3 linked regions of the Rattus norvegicus genome follow. The main gene of each other region encodes a partner of the protein of the gene in region 2 in a complex. Links are inferred from orthologs where the notes say so. Each region holds a gene or a part of one and is shown on either strand. Other genes may lie near its edges.

Region 1 (4,109 bases), on a different chromosome or scaffold from region 2:
AATCTTTTTAAAAAAGAGAAAGATTTGCTTTAAAAATATTTATGTGCATTGGTGTTTTGATGTATATCAGTGTGAGAGTGTTGGATTCCCTATAAGTGGAGTTACAGATGGTTGTGAGCTATTATGTGGGTGCTGGAAACTGAACCCAGGTCCTCGGAGAGAGCAGCCAGTGCTCTTAACCAAGGAGCCGACTCTTCAGCCCCAAGAAAAGATTTTATTTTAAAAACGTTTTCATCGTGTGTGAATTTATATGTGTATAATCTGTGTGTAGGGGTGCACATGTGGAGACTGAATAATAACTTTATAGAGTTGGTTTTATGTGGATGCTGGGATTAAATTCAGGCCATGAGGCTTGCATGTTTTTACCGAGTTATCTTTTTTGTTCTTTTTTTTTTTTTTTTTTTTCGGAGCTGGGGACCGAACCCAGGGCCTTGCGCTTCCTAGGTAAGCGCTCTACCACTGAGCTAAATCCCCAACCCCATTTTACCGAGTTATCTTGTGGGCCCCCTTTTTATGTGCATGAATGTATTCTCTGTGCACACACGCAAATCACGTATGTAAGTGCACACAGAGATCGGAAGAGGGTGTTGGATCCCCTGGAACTGGAAATACAGAGGGTTGTGAGCCATCATATGGGTTCTGGGAGTCAAATCCAGGTTAAGGGGTTGCAAGGGCAACCCATGCTCCTAACCATTGAGCCACCTCTCTGGTTCCATCGCCTTAATTTTAAACGGACATTCATAATTGCAATGGCCTTCAAAGGATTTGGGACATCGGCACCCACACCTCTTGGGCTTTTGGGTCAAGGATGGCAGGTTGGGACCCCCGTTGCCTTTCGGGAAGGATGATGACGTGGGTCTTGGCTGTAGCTAAGAGAAGCCCTGGCCCCAGTGAGGCTCTGAGGGACAGCCACACCTCTGTGGGGGAGGAGAGGGAGGCTGCCCTGAAGGGAGTGGACAGCCCCGCTGCCAGTCTTCCCAGGCTTAGAGTGTAAGATGAGAAGGAGAAGGTGGGCCTCACCCAGGAGGGGAGGGCGCCCAGAAACTTCCTGCCGCTCTCAGCTCCACCGCAGACTGAGCGCAAGGTCAGTTTGGAGAGGGTGGCGGCCTGCCTGGGGGCGGGAGACCCTCCTCGGGGCTGGGCGGAGGCCTTTAAGCGCCTCGCCATATTGAACGGCCACGCTGAGCCATCTTTGTCTGCAGAGTCCTCCCACGAACTTTCAACTTCATCCCGGTGTCTGGGGCAAGGGAGCAGCGATCGGAGCTCGTGCGTTTCCAACTTGGAGCAGGGACACTGGCGATTCCAGTTTGGACTGAGCTTTGAGCCTCGGGACTAAGCGTGCCTCGGTTCATGTAAGCATCCTGGAAAACTCCTTGATACAACTCCGAGGGGGTTGGGGGAACCCAACTTGGACTTGTCGCCTGAAGAGAAAATTACAGGGAGGCGACACTGCGTGAGCAGAGTTGCTGGGACCCTCCACTGCTCCCTCCCCAAGACTAGAAGCCGAGAGAGCCTGGGCTTCTTGCCCCCAACTCGGGAGTCCACACTGGAGATCTTAAAGACTCTCGAGAAAAGCCACGTGGGGGGATGGTTCCCCTGGGGCTTCCTCCCCTCTCCCGATTGCCTGATCCTCTGGAGTGTCCCCGACGTCTGCAAAGATGTCGATCTGGATGTGTTAGTGGAGGCCTTAAGGCCTGTGGGCACCTTCAAGAAGATCGGGAAGGTGTTCCGCAAAGAGGAGGACTCCACGGTGGGGATGCTGCAGATTGGGGAGGATGTTGACTATCTGCTCATCCCCCGGGAGGTCCGGCTGGCTGGGGGCGTGTGGAGAGTCATCTCCAAGCCTGCCACTAAGGAGGCTGTGTTTCGGGAGCGGCTGATCCAGTTTCTGCAGGAGGAGGGCCGCACCCTGGAAGATGTGGCTCGTATCATCGAAAAGAGTACTCCACATCCACCCCAGCCCCCCAAAAAAGCCAAGGTGCCCAGAGTGAGGAGAGTCCCGCAGATGGTCACTCCTCCACTTCGGCTGGTTGTAGGCACTTACGACAGCAGCAATGGCAGCGATAGCGAGTTGAGTGACTTCGATACATCCAAAGTCAAAGGCAACAGGGGCTCCGGGAAGACCAGGAAGGTGCGCAAAATGCCGGTCAGTTACTTGGGCAGCAAATTCCTGGGCAGCGATGAGAGCGAGGATGATCAGGAGCTGGTAGAGGCCTTCCTCCGCCGCGGGGAGAAGAAGCCCAGCGCGCCTCCTCCACGGCGCCGAGTCAATCTTCCAGTGCCCATGTTTGAGAATAACCTGGGGCCCCAGCCATCCAAGGGGGACAGATGGCGGGAGTATGTCAGCCAGGTGTCCTGGGGGAAGCTGAAACAGAGGGTGAAAGGCTGGGCGCCCAGATCAGGCTCCGAGGTGGGCCAGGCCCAGCAGTCCTCCATAGCTGAGAGGGCTGGAGAAATGAGACACAGCCACACCAGCCCAGACCTGGATGATAGCTCCAGAAACACAGGAGACCTGAGCGACCAGACACTGATTACTAGACGCTGGAAGCCCAAGATCAAGTGGGTCTCCTTGAGACGATGCAGGAAGGAGCAGGTGCCACCCTCGGCTCACGGGACAGCTGAAGAGCCCCCAGAGGCTGCAGAAAACCAGGGAGCAGGGGCTGCAGCTGAACATGGGGTAGAGGCTGCAGCTAGCCAGAGGCCAGAGGCTGCAGCTAGTCCAAGAGCAGAGGCTGCAGCTAATCCAAGAGCAGAGGCTACAGCTAATCCAAGAGCAGAGGCTGCAGCTAATCCAAGAGCAGAGGCTGCAGCTAGTCCAAGAGCAGAGGCTGCAGCTAATCCAAGAGCAGAGGCTGCAGCTAATCCAAGAGCAGAGGCTACAGCTAATCCAAGAGCAGAGGCTGCAGCTAATCCAAGAGCAGAGGCTACAGCTAATCCAAGAGCAGAGGCTGCAGTTAATCCAAGAACAGAGGCTGCAGCTAATCCAAGAGCAGAGGCTGCAGTTAATCCAAGAGCAGAGGCTACAGCTAGTCCAGGGGCAGAGGCTGCAGCTAGTCCAAAGGCAGAGGCTGCAGCTAGTCCAAGGGCAGAGGCTGAAGTTAACCAGAAGACAGAGGCTACAGCTAGTCCAAGGGCAGAGACTGCAGCTAGTCCAAGGGTAGAGGCTGCAGCTAGTCTAAGGGTAGAGGCTGCAGCTAGTCCAAGGGCAGAGGCTACAGTTAGTCCAAGGGCAGAGGCTGTAGCTACTCCAAGAGCAGAGACTGCTGCTAGTGCAAGGATAGAAGCTGCAGCTAATCTCAGGGCAGGAGTTCTACCTGACCAGAGGGCAGAAGCCATAGATAGTCAGAGGGCAGAGGGCCCAGTTAACCAAAGCACTGGTGCTACAGAAAATCAGAGGGTGGAGGTCCTAGCTGACCAGAGGGCAGGGGTCCTCCATGACCAGAGGGAGGAGGCTGGACCTCAAGCTATACTGGAAGCCTCAGCTGATTCGGGATCTAGAGCCCGGAAACAGGTAAAGACAGTGAGGTTCCAGACCCCAGGACGCTTCTCCTGGTTTCACATGCGCAGGAAAGCTTTCTGGCACACTCCCAGGTTGCCAACCCTGCCCAAGAGAGGCCCCAGGGCAGGGGCGGGAGAGGCTAGGAGCCTCAGGGTGCTAAGGGCTGACACCAGAGCAGACATGGAACACAGAGAGCAAGAAGAACAGCTGTAAGGGAAGCCCAGTGCCCCGGCACCCTGCCTGCACCCTGCCTGCGTGGTGTTAGCTGCTAGGATACTTCTCTCCTCTGTGGGCTGCCTCTTCCTCCACATTTGAAAATGGAGGCTGCAGGGGCAGGCAGCACTGACCACACCTTTCCTCCCCTTTCCACACTCATTCTCTACTTTCTTCTCTTCTGTCCCTCCCTGCCTCCTTCTCTCTCCTCTCTTTTTCTTTCCTTCTCTGTCTCTATATCTTTATTTGAGACAGAGTCTTGCTATGCAGCCCTGATGGCCAGGTGCTCCATATATAATTGGTCTTAAACTCACAGGAGTCCTCCACCTTAGTGCCCAGAGCATGAGGTTACAGGTGTGTGACACTACATCTGGCTCAGTGACCCTCTTTCTGTTTT
Region 2 (3,644 bases):
GAAAGAGAGTAAAAACAGAACTAGAATAAAGGAAGTAGAGGCCATTGCTGAAGAGAGGGTGGGGCTGTCTGTATATACACTGTCGTCTATGCATTCTATATATTCTATAGCCAGTGTTGCTATTTGGTCACCTTATAGACCATGAGCCCCAGCGTTGGGCCTCAGCTGATTAATAGCAAATCCTCTTCTCCTTCCCTCTTCCCGCGCTCCAATCCTCCAGGTGTTGTGGGATTCGACAGGCCATACCTACTGGGTACACTGGCACATGCTTGAGATCTTGGGCTTTGAGGAAGACATTGAGGATGTGGTTGACATTGATGACCAGGGGGCAATGGTCCATGGAGGACTGGGTGTAGGTGAGCTCGGGGAGGGGTTGGCTCTGAGCCGAGAAGCAGAGGCCTACCTGGGCAGGCAGTGACTTGGCCGTTGGCACGCCCCGTTTTCACAGCCCCGCCATTCCAGCACTGGAAGCCCATAGCTCAGCTCTTTGCCGAGCCTTACGTGGTGCCCGAGGAGGAAGACAGGGAAGAGAGAGAGCACTTGACCCAGGCCGAGTGGTGGGAGCTCTTCTTCTTCATCAAGAAGTTAAACGCAGAGGAACGGCAGCACGTGGTGGAGCTCCTTCAGGAGTTCCTGGAGGGGGAGGTAGGCACTCCTCAGAGGCGCCCCCTACAGGTCTGGACTGGAACATTTGCAAAGCTCGGGAGGGGACGTGGAGGTCAGATAGCATCAGGGGCCCACAGTGGAGGAGTCTGGGAAGTTCAAAGATGCAAGTGTTGGTGGGCTGTCAGCTACCAGAGGTTCAGAATGGTGGATGTGTGTGGAGATTCCCCATTCCCCCAGAGGACCTCTCACCATCTGCTCGTTCAGCTGCTACGGGCTGACTTTCTTCCCACAGCATGTTCTGGACTTTGAGATCCTGCCCGAGCTGACTGTACCTGTTGAGTTGGCTCAGGACCTGATGCTGTCTCTGCCTCAACAACTTGATGACAGCGCTTTGAGGGACCTGTTCAACTGCTATGTGTACCGGAAGTACGGCCCCGAAGTCCTGGTAGGGAAGCGAAACCGCCCGTTTGTGCTAGATGACCAGCTTAACCTATTCCGGATCGAAACGGACTCTGAAGATGAGGCTGGCGCTGAAGGTGAGTGTCCCGCAGACAGCAGCAGAGACACCTGCCTTCGGGAGAGTGTCGTCACAGGGGGGTCTCCTCTAACAGTGTGCTGTCCTGTCTGAAAGAGATACCCTACCCACAGTCCCAGAAACTTTATATGTGCGTCCACGTGAGTGCGTGTGCGTGCGCGCGCGTGCGTACCTGTGTGTCTAGACCCGAAGACAATTACAGATGTCGTTCCTCAGCTGTCATTTATCTTTTATTTAAATTGATTTTATTTTAGCTGAGTGTGGTGGCCCACACAGATATCTGAGTTTGAAGCCAGCCTGCTCTATAGAGCAAATTCCAGGACAGCCAGGGCTACACAGAAACCCTGTCTCAAAAGTACCAAGCCGGGGTTGGGGATTTAGCTCAGTGGTAGAGCGCTTGCCTAGGAAGCGCAAGGCCCTGGGTTCGGTCCCCAGCTCCGAAAAAAAGAACCAAAAAAAAAAAAGTACCAAGCCAAAAAAAAATTTTTATTTTATTTTATTCGTATGGGTATTGTGTGTCTATTACGTCCATGCAGTGCCCACAGAGGCCAGAAGAGGGCGTCGGCTCTCCTGGAGTTGAGGTTCTAATTAGTTGTGAGCTGCCAAGTGGATGCTGGCGATTGAACCTGGAGCCTCTGGAAAAACAAGTGTTCTTAATCTTGACCCATCTCTGTAGACCCATCCGCCACACTTTTTCTTCCTCCTTTCTTTCCTCTATCTCTCTTTCTTTTCTTCTTTTTTTTTTGGGGGGGGGGGGGGGCAAGTTCTCCTGCTGCCCTGGTCCTTGCTGTCTCCACCATATGTATGAACCACAGGCATGAACCACTGTGTTCAGTTATTGTTTCTAGAAGATTTTATTTCTAATTATGTGTCTGTATGTGGGTTCGTGCGTGTGAATGCAGATACCCCAAGTAGGCCAGTGAGACTGTCAGATGGCTGGAGCTGGAGTTGCAGTGGGTCACGAGCTGCCTGACACAGGTACTGCCAATTCTTACCCCACTCTTGTTCCTCCAGCCCAAGATCCCCCATCTCAGAGTGCCAGCCCTGCCCTGCGGCAACTGGTGGAGGGCTTGGGCCCATCTGGGAAGCTCCTTGTGGACCTGGAGCGAGCCCTCAGCTCTGAGGCTCCCCAGGAAAATGAGGTCAAGCCATGCCTGCTGCAGCTGCAGGAGGAGCCCCAGCCCTTCCTCACACTCATGCGGAGTCTGGACACTCCAGCCAGCAACAAGGCCCTGCACCTGACTGCGCTGAGGTGGGAGAGCAGTGAGGGGCAGGGCTGGGCACAGGAAGGCCTCACACCAACCTGATTATCTCTCTACCTTCCCGTTTCTGTCTCTCCCCCTAGAATCTTGATGCAGCTGGTGAACTTCCCTGAGGCACTGCTGCTTCCCTGGCATGAAGCCATGGATGCCTGTATGACCTGCCTTCGGTCCCCCAATACTGACCGAGAGGTAGCCCTGTCCCACTCTGGGGAGATGCTGGGCGGTGGGAGGACCCCAGTGAGGCAGACCCCCGGGTGAGGCTTGGAGGATGCAACAGAGTCTTTGTGTTCTTGCCTTTAAAATGAAAATCTTATGTTTTTTAAATAGGTAATATTCAGAAAAGTTCACAAGTCAAAATGGCACAAGGTAGTCCTTGAGAATTCTGGCTCTTACCTGATTCTCATTGTCTGAGCGTCCTTGCTGGTAACCCACTGTATTAATCTATAGTCTGTCCCCTGCTTCCTTAAGCGTATAGAAATGAGCTCGGCGGGCTTCAGCCAGGCCTTCAGGAGGAAGGGGAGCAGCCTCGCTGCTCTTGTAGAGGACCCAGATTTAGTTCTCAGCACCCACCGGACAGCTCGCAACCATCTGTAACTCGTTCTAGGGAGGAGGTAGACACCTCTTTCTAGTCACATGCACACACGGTGTAATGGCAGGCAAATACTCTCACATAAGATTTAAATAACTTTACGAAATCTTTTCAGAGAGGGAGTGAGGGAGCAGACTTTTCTATAAGAGGTCCTGGGTACAGGAGGCCTCAGAAGGGTCAAATGTATGGTGTTAATGAGTATCTCAAGTCGATGCCTTCAGTTGCCAAGCTAGACCAGAGAGAAGTTCAGGCCTTCTCTTCCCTTCTAGCCCTCATTAAGTGTCTGGGCTGGGGGCCTACACATCTCAACACCAATCCTGCAGCTGGCTCCTGGGAGCCACAGCTGAGTCCAAGAACTGAGGATCCTCTACCTGTTCCCCACATACTTGGTGGCTAAGAGCCCCAGAGGGCAAGCAGGCTCTTCCCATAGGTTTGACCTTGTTTCTCTAACTGCACCTGGTTTTTATATTACTTCCACACACTGCCTTGCTCGGCTCCCAGCACAGAGTGGGCATGAGTCACCACAGCTATCCATGTAGCCGAGGCTTGCCCCTTTCTTCACTGTCCCCTTGATTGACATCCCCGCTCAGGTGCTCCAGGAACTAATCTTTTTCCTACACCGCCTGACCTCCACGAGCCGGGACTATGCGGT
Region 3 (3,644 bases), about 63 Mb from region 2:
ACAGTCCTCTTGCCTTCTTTCCTGACTTGCCCAAGGAGCCATGCCCAGGATGAGCTGCTTAGGGATTTCCACTCACTATACCCCAGATGGAGTCCACAATTGCAACAAGACTCCTTCTCTAGTTCCCAGCCCTGACCAGACATCACAACCACAACCAAAGCACCATAGGCTGCCTCACTGTAAAGTTCACACAAATGCCACCTCACCTCCAGGCCTGAGTGGATCAAGTCCCACCACACCCAATGGCTTCTGTAGTTATATCTTTCCCCCCATCTCACTGCCCCAACCTCTGCCACAGTCATTCCATACAGAAGAAGCTGCCTTCTGTAATCCTCTGGCCTTGTCATGACTGGATCAGACATTTTGAAAAAAAAAACGCCGTCTTGTCTCCACAAGACATGGCTGTTTCTGAGCTCAAGTGTACTGTGTGGCTGGGTTTGGCCGGGTTTGGCCAAGAACTGAAAAATCTTAGGCAGGAAAGCCAGCAGTTCCCTTGCCTGACCACAAGGGGGCCAGGTGTACGCTAGTCTTCTGGAAACTATTTGTAGGAGAGCAAGAGGGGGTGGTATTATGGACAGGCAAGCTTGGGCTTGCTGAGGGTCTAATAATACTGACTTAGCTCCTTTTCTGTGGAAGAGTGATCTGCCCCTGAGTACAAGCTCCCTGAAACAGTGTAGCATCCCTGGGAAACTTTAGACAGGTCTTAACAACTTTGGTATACAAGGATTCAGTCCCTAGTTGCTTAGGAGGCTTGGATACCCCCTCTCCCCCACCTGCAGCAGGAAGCCTGCCTAGGACAGAATGCTCCCTCTCCTGCTCCAGGAGCTGTAGCTGTCCCGGACCTTAAGGGCAATCCATTGCTTAATCATTTCATGACTCAGTTCTTTCATCTGGAAAATGGAGACAGCATAGTGCTTTCCTCCAGACATCAGTGTGAGGCTCAACAGTGCTCAGAACTACGACTGGAGCATTAGGAAGTGTTTGTTTTTTACAGATCCTGGTTCCACCCCTGCACAGTTTTGAAAGCCCCCAAGCCCTCATAACCAAAAGGCTTCTTAAAAGTTCAATAGTCGTCCGCTATGATGGTTTACACTTTTAATCCCAACCCTCAGGAGATAGAGGCAGGTGATTCTCTGTGTTTTCCAGACTATCCTGGTCTACATAGTAAGTTTCAGACCAGTCGGGGCTATGTAGTGAGATCAGAAGTTTGGCAGTTAAAATTTATTTCACTAAAACTGAGTTTAACTGATGCATACTTAATTATTCTTTAATTATCTGGCAGGGCTAGTATATCTGTATCTCTGTGAGACTTGACTGTATCTTTTAGTATATCTTGCTGAGGGTAAATATATTAGACAGCAAAAATGTCAATGGGAGTAGTTATAAGAGGCAGAGGCAGGACCTGAAGGTATCTACCAAATGAGGAAAGTCCAGAAGATTCTGGGTTCTGTAGATGACTGGTCTTGAGGATTTCAGGGACAGACCAGGAACTTACTGTTACTTATTACTCAGAATGCAGGGCCGTTATTAACACGGGCCAGCAGGGGCCCCATGCTCTGCGCGGTCATGCTAGTTGACAGTTGTGCTTGCCGTGTTCTGCAGAGCCCCCTGTGCGGATCATATACCCCCAGGATGAGGTGACCTTACATGCTGTGAGTCTGGAATGTGTGGTGCTCACATGTGAGCTGTCCCGAGTGGACGCTCCTGTACGATGGTACAAGGACGGGCTAGAGGTGGAGGAGACGGAGGCCCTGGTGCTCCAGAGTGATGGGCCTCGTCGCCGCCTGGTGTTGCCTGCGGCCCAGCCGGAGGACGGGGGCGAGTTTGTGTGTGATGCTGGGGATGATTCAGCCTTCTTCACTGTCACTGTCACAGGTGGGTAGTTTCCGCAGACACCTCCAGGGAGGTAAAGAGACGGGGTGCTATAGGACTTACATCTACTCTCCCTACTCCCCCCGTTTCCCTTCCCCCATGCCTCTGCCTACCAGACTCCTCAGTCTTAGTCATCAGAGAACTCAGTTCAACCCGGGACAGTGTCCACAGGCCTGGTGAGAGGGAGCCTAGCAGTTAGGATCATTCATTCATTCATTCATTCATTCATTCAGCAAATGCTTATCTAACAACTAGCGTATGCTTGGCACCATCCTAGACGCTGAGGTACAAAGTGAACCAGTGAGCTACAAGTTTCAGTGTTCGTGGAACTCATGTTGGGAAGTGGTAGTGAGGCAAAAAAAATTTAAAAAAAATAAAAAATTTTTTAAATTTTTAAAAATTAAAAAAAAGAAAAAAGGAAAAATGGATGGTTTATGGAGGAGCAGTAGCTGTCAGAGGCAAAGCATAGAAAGGAAGGAAGTGTGGATGGATCTTTTTGGGGGGTACCAAAATTTTTGGGTAAGTAGTTTTTTGGGGGTCACCAAACATTTTTGGAGGTACCAAAAGCTTTTTGGGGGTGGTGGATCTAAGGAGAGGTGAATGGATAAATTTGGGTATAAGTCTGTCTACAAGTCCTTTTTTTTCATAGAAGCCCCTCAGGTCTTTACCATAAAGTGTATTGGAGAGGTAGGGAGAGGGCATCAGTCAAAACCGTATGCCCTTTTCTGCCCACCCACCAGCTCCACCAGAGAGAATTGTGCACCCAGTGGCCCGATCCCTGGATTTGCAGTTTGGGGCTCCAGGACACGTGGAGCTACGCTGTGAAGTGGCCCCGGCTGGGTCTCAGGTGCGCTGGTACAAGGATGGGCTAGAGGTAGAAGTGTCAGATGCACTGCAGCTGGGTGCGGAGGGGCCCGCCCGCACTCTCACCCTGCCCCACGCCCAGCCTGAGGATGCCGGGGAGTATGTATGTGAGACCCGAGATGAGGCTGTCACCTTCAACGTCAGCCTGGCTGGTGGGTGTGCTGGGCCAGCCTGGGGTGGGGAGGAAGGGGCTGGCTTGGGCTTACGACCCCCTTTCCTCGTACAGAGCTTCCAGTGCAGTTTCTGGCTCCAGAGGCAGTCCCAAACCCGCTCTGCGTGGTTCCTGGGGAGCCAGTGATGCTGAGCTGTGAGCTGTCCCGAGCAAGCGCACACGTGTCCTGGAGCCATAATGGGAACCCTGTGAAGCAGGGTGAAGGACTAGAGCTTCGAGCTGAGGGTCCTCGCCGAATCCTCTGCATCCAGGCTGCAGACCTAGCTCACACAGGTGTCTACACCTGCCAGTCTGGGACAGCCCCTGGGGCCCCAAGCCTCAGCTTCAATGTCCAGGTGGCTGGTGAGTACAGCCTGGGCAGAAAGCCTTCGTAGTCCCCATATCCAGGGCTCCCCCACTTCCTAAGACATCATATCTTTCCCTTGCCCCGTTTCCCCAGCCTGTCTCCCTGTCCTTCTCATTGCCCTCCCAGTGACCCCTAGCTCTGACCCCACAGAGCCCCCGGTGCGGGTAGTGGCCCCCGAGGCAGCCCAGACGAGGGTTCGAAGCACCCCAGGCGGGGACCTAGAGCTGGTGGTGCACCTCTCCAGGCCAGGGGGCCCTGTGCGCTGGTACAAGGACGGGGAGCGCCTGGCAAGCCAGGGGCGGGTGCAGCTGGAACAAGCCGGGGAGAGGCAGGTGCTGCGGGTGCGGGGGGCACGGAGAGGGGATGCTGGGGAATACCTGTGTGACGCAT

The links.
Region 1: Cul7 (region 2) and Ccdc8 share a complex: the UniProt entries of both Homo sapiens proteins name them as parts of the 3M complex. The link is inferred for Rattus norvegicus from reciprocal best matches to the Homo sapiens genes CUL7 and CCDC8.
Region 3: Cul7 (region 2) and Obsl1 share a complex: the UniProt entries of both Homo sapiens proteins name them as parts of the 3M complex. The link is inferred for Rattus norvegicus from reciprocal best matches to the Homo sapiens genes CUL7 and OBSL1.

What each region holds. Positions count from the first base shown.
Region 1 is NC_086019.1:86,806,356-86,810,464, forward strand, and holds the start of Ccdc8 (coiled-coil domain-containing protein 8), read left to right. Parts: upstream 1-1,251; 5' UTR 1,252-1,756; coding exon 1,757-3,712; 3' UTR 3,713-4,109. UniProt on the Homo sapiens protein: Core component of the 3M complex, a complex required to regulate microtubule dynamics and genome integrity. It is unclear how the 3M complex regulates microtubules, it could act by controlling the level of a microtubule stabilizer.
Region 2 is NC_086027.1:21,823,729-21,827,372, reverse strand, and holds part of Cul7 (cullin 7), read left to right. Parts: intron 1-220; coding exon 221-356; intron 357-448; coding exon 449-645; intron 646-898; coding exon 899-1,142; intron 1,143-2,155; coding exon 2,156-2,393; intron 2,394-2,486; coding exon 2,487-2,592; intron 2,593-3,582; coding exon 3,583-3,644. UniProt on the Homo sapiens protein: Core component of the 3M and Cul7-RING(FBXW8) complexes, which mediate the ubiquitination and subsequent proteasomal degradation of target proteins. Core component of the 3M complex, a complex required to regulate microtubule dynamics and genome integrity.
Region 3 is NC_086027.1:84,428,788-84,432,431, reverse strand, and holds part of Obsl1 (obscurin-like protein 1), read left to right. Parts: intron 1-1,602; coding exon 1,603-1,875; intron 1,876-2,612; coding exon 2,613-2,888; intron 2,889-2,962; coding exon 2,963-3,250; intron 3,251-3,404; coding exon of another isoform or gene 3,405-3,644. UniProt on the Homo sapiens protein: Core component of the 3M complex, a complex required to regulate microtubule dynamics and genome integrity. It is unclear how the 3M complex regulates microtubules, it could act by controlling the level of a microtubule stabilizer.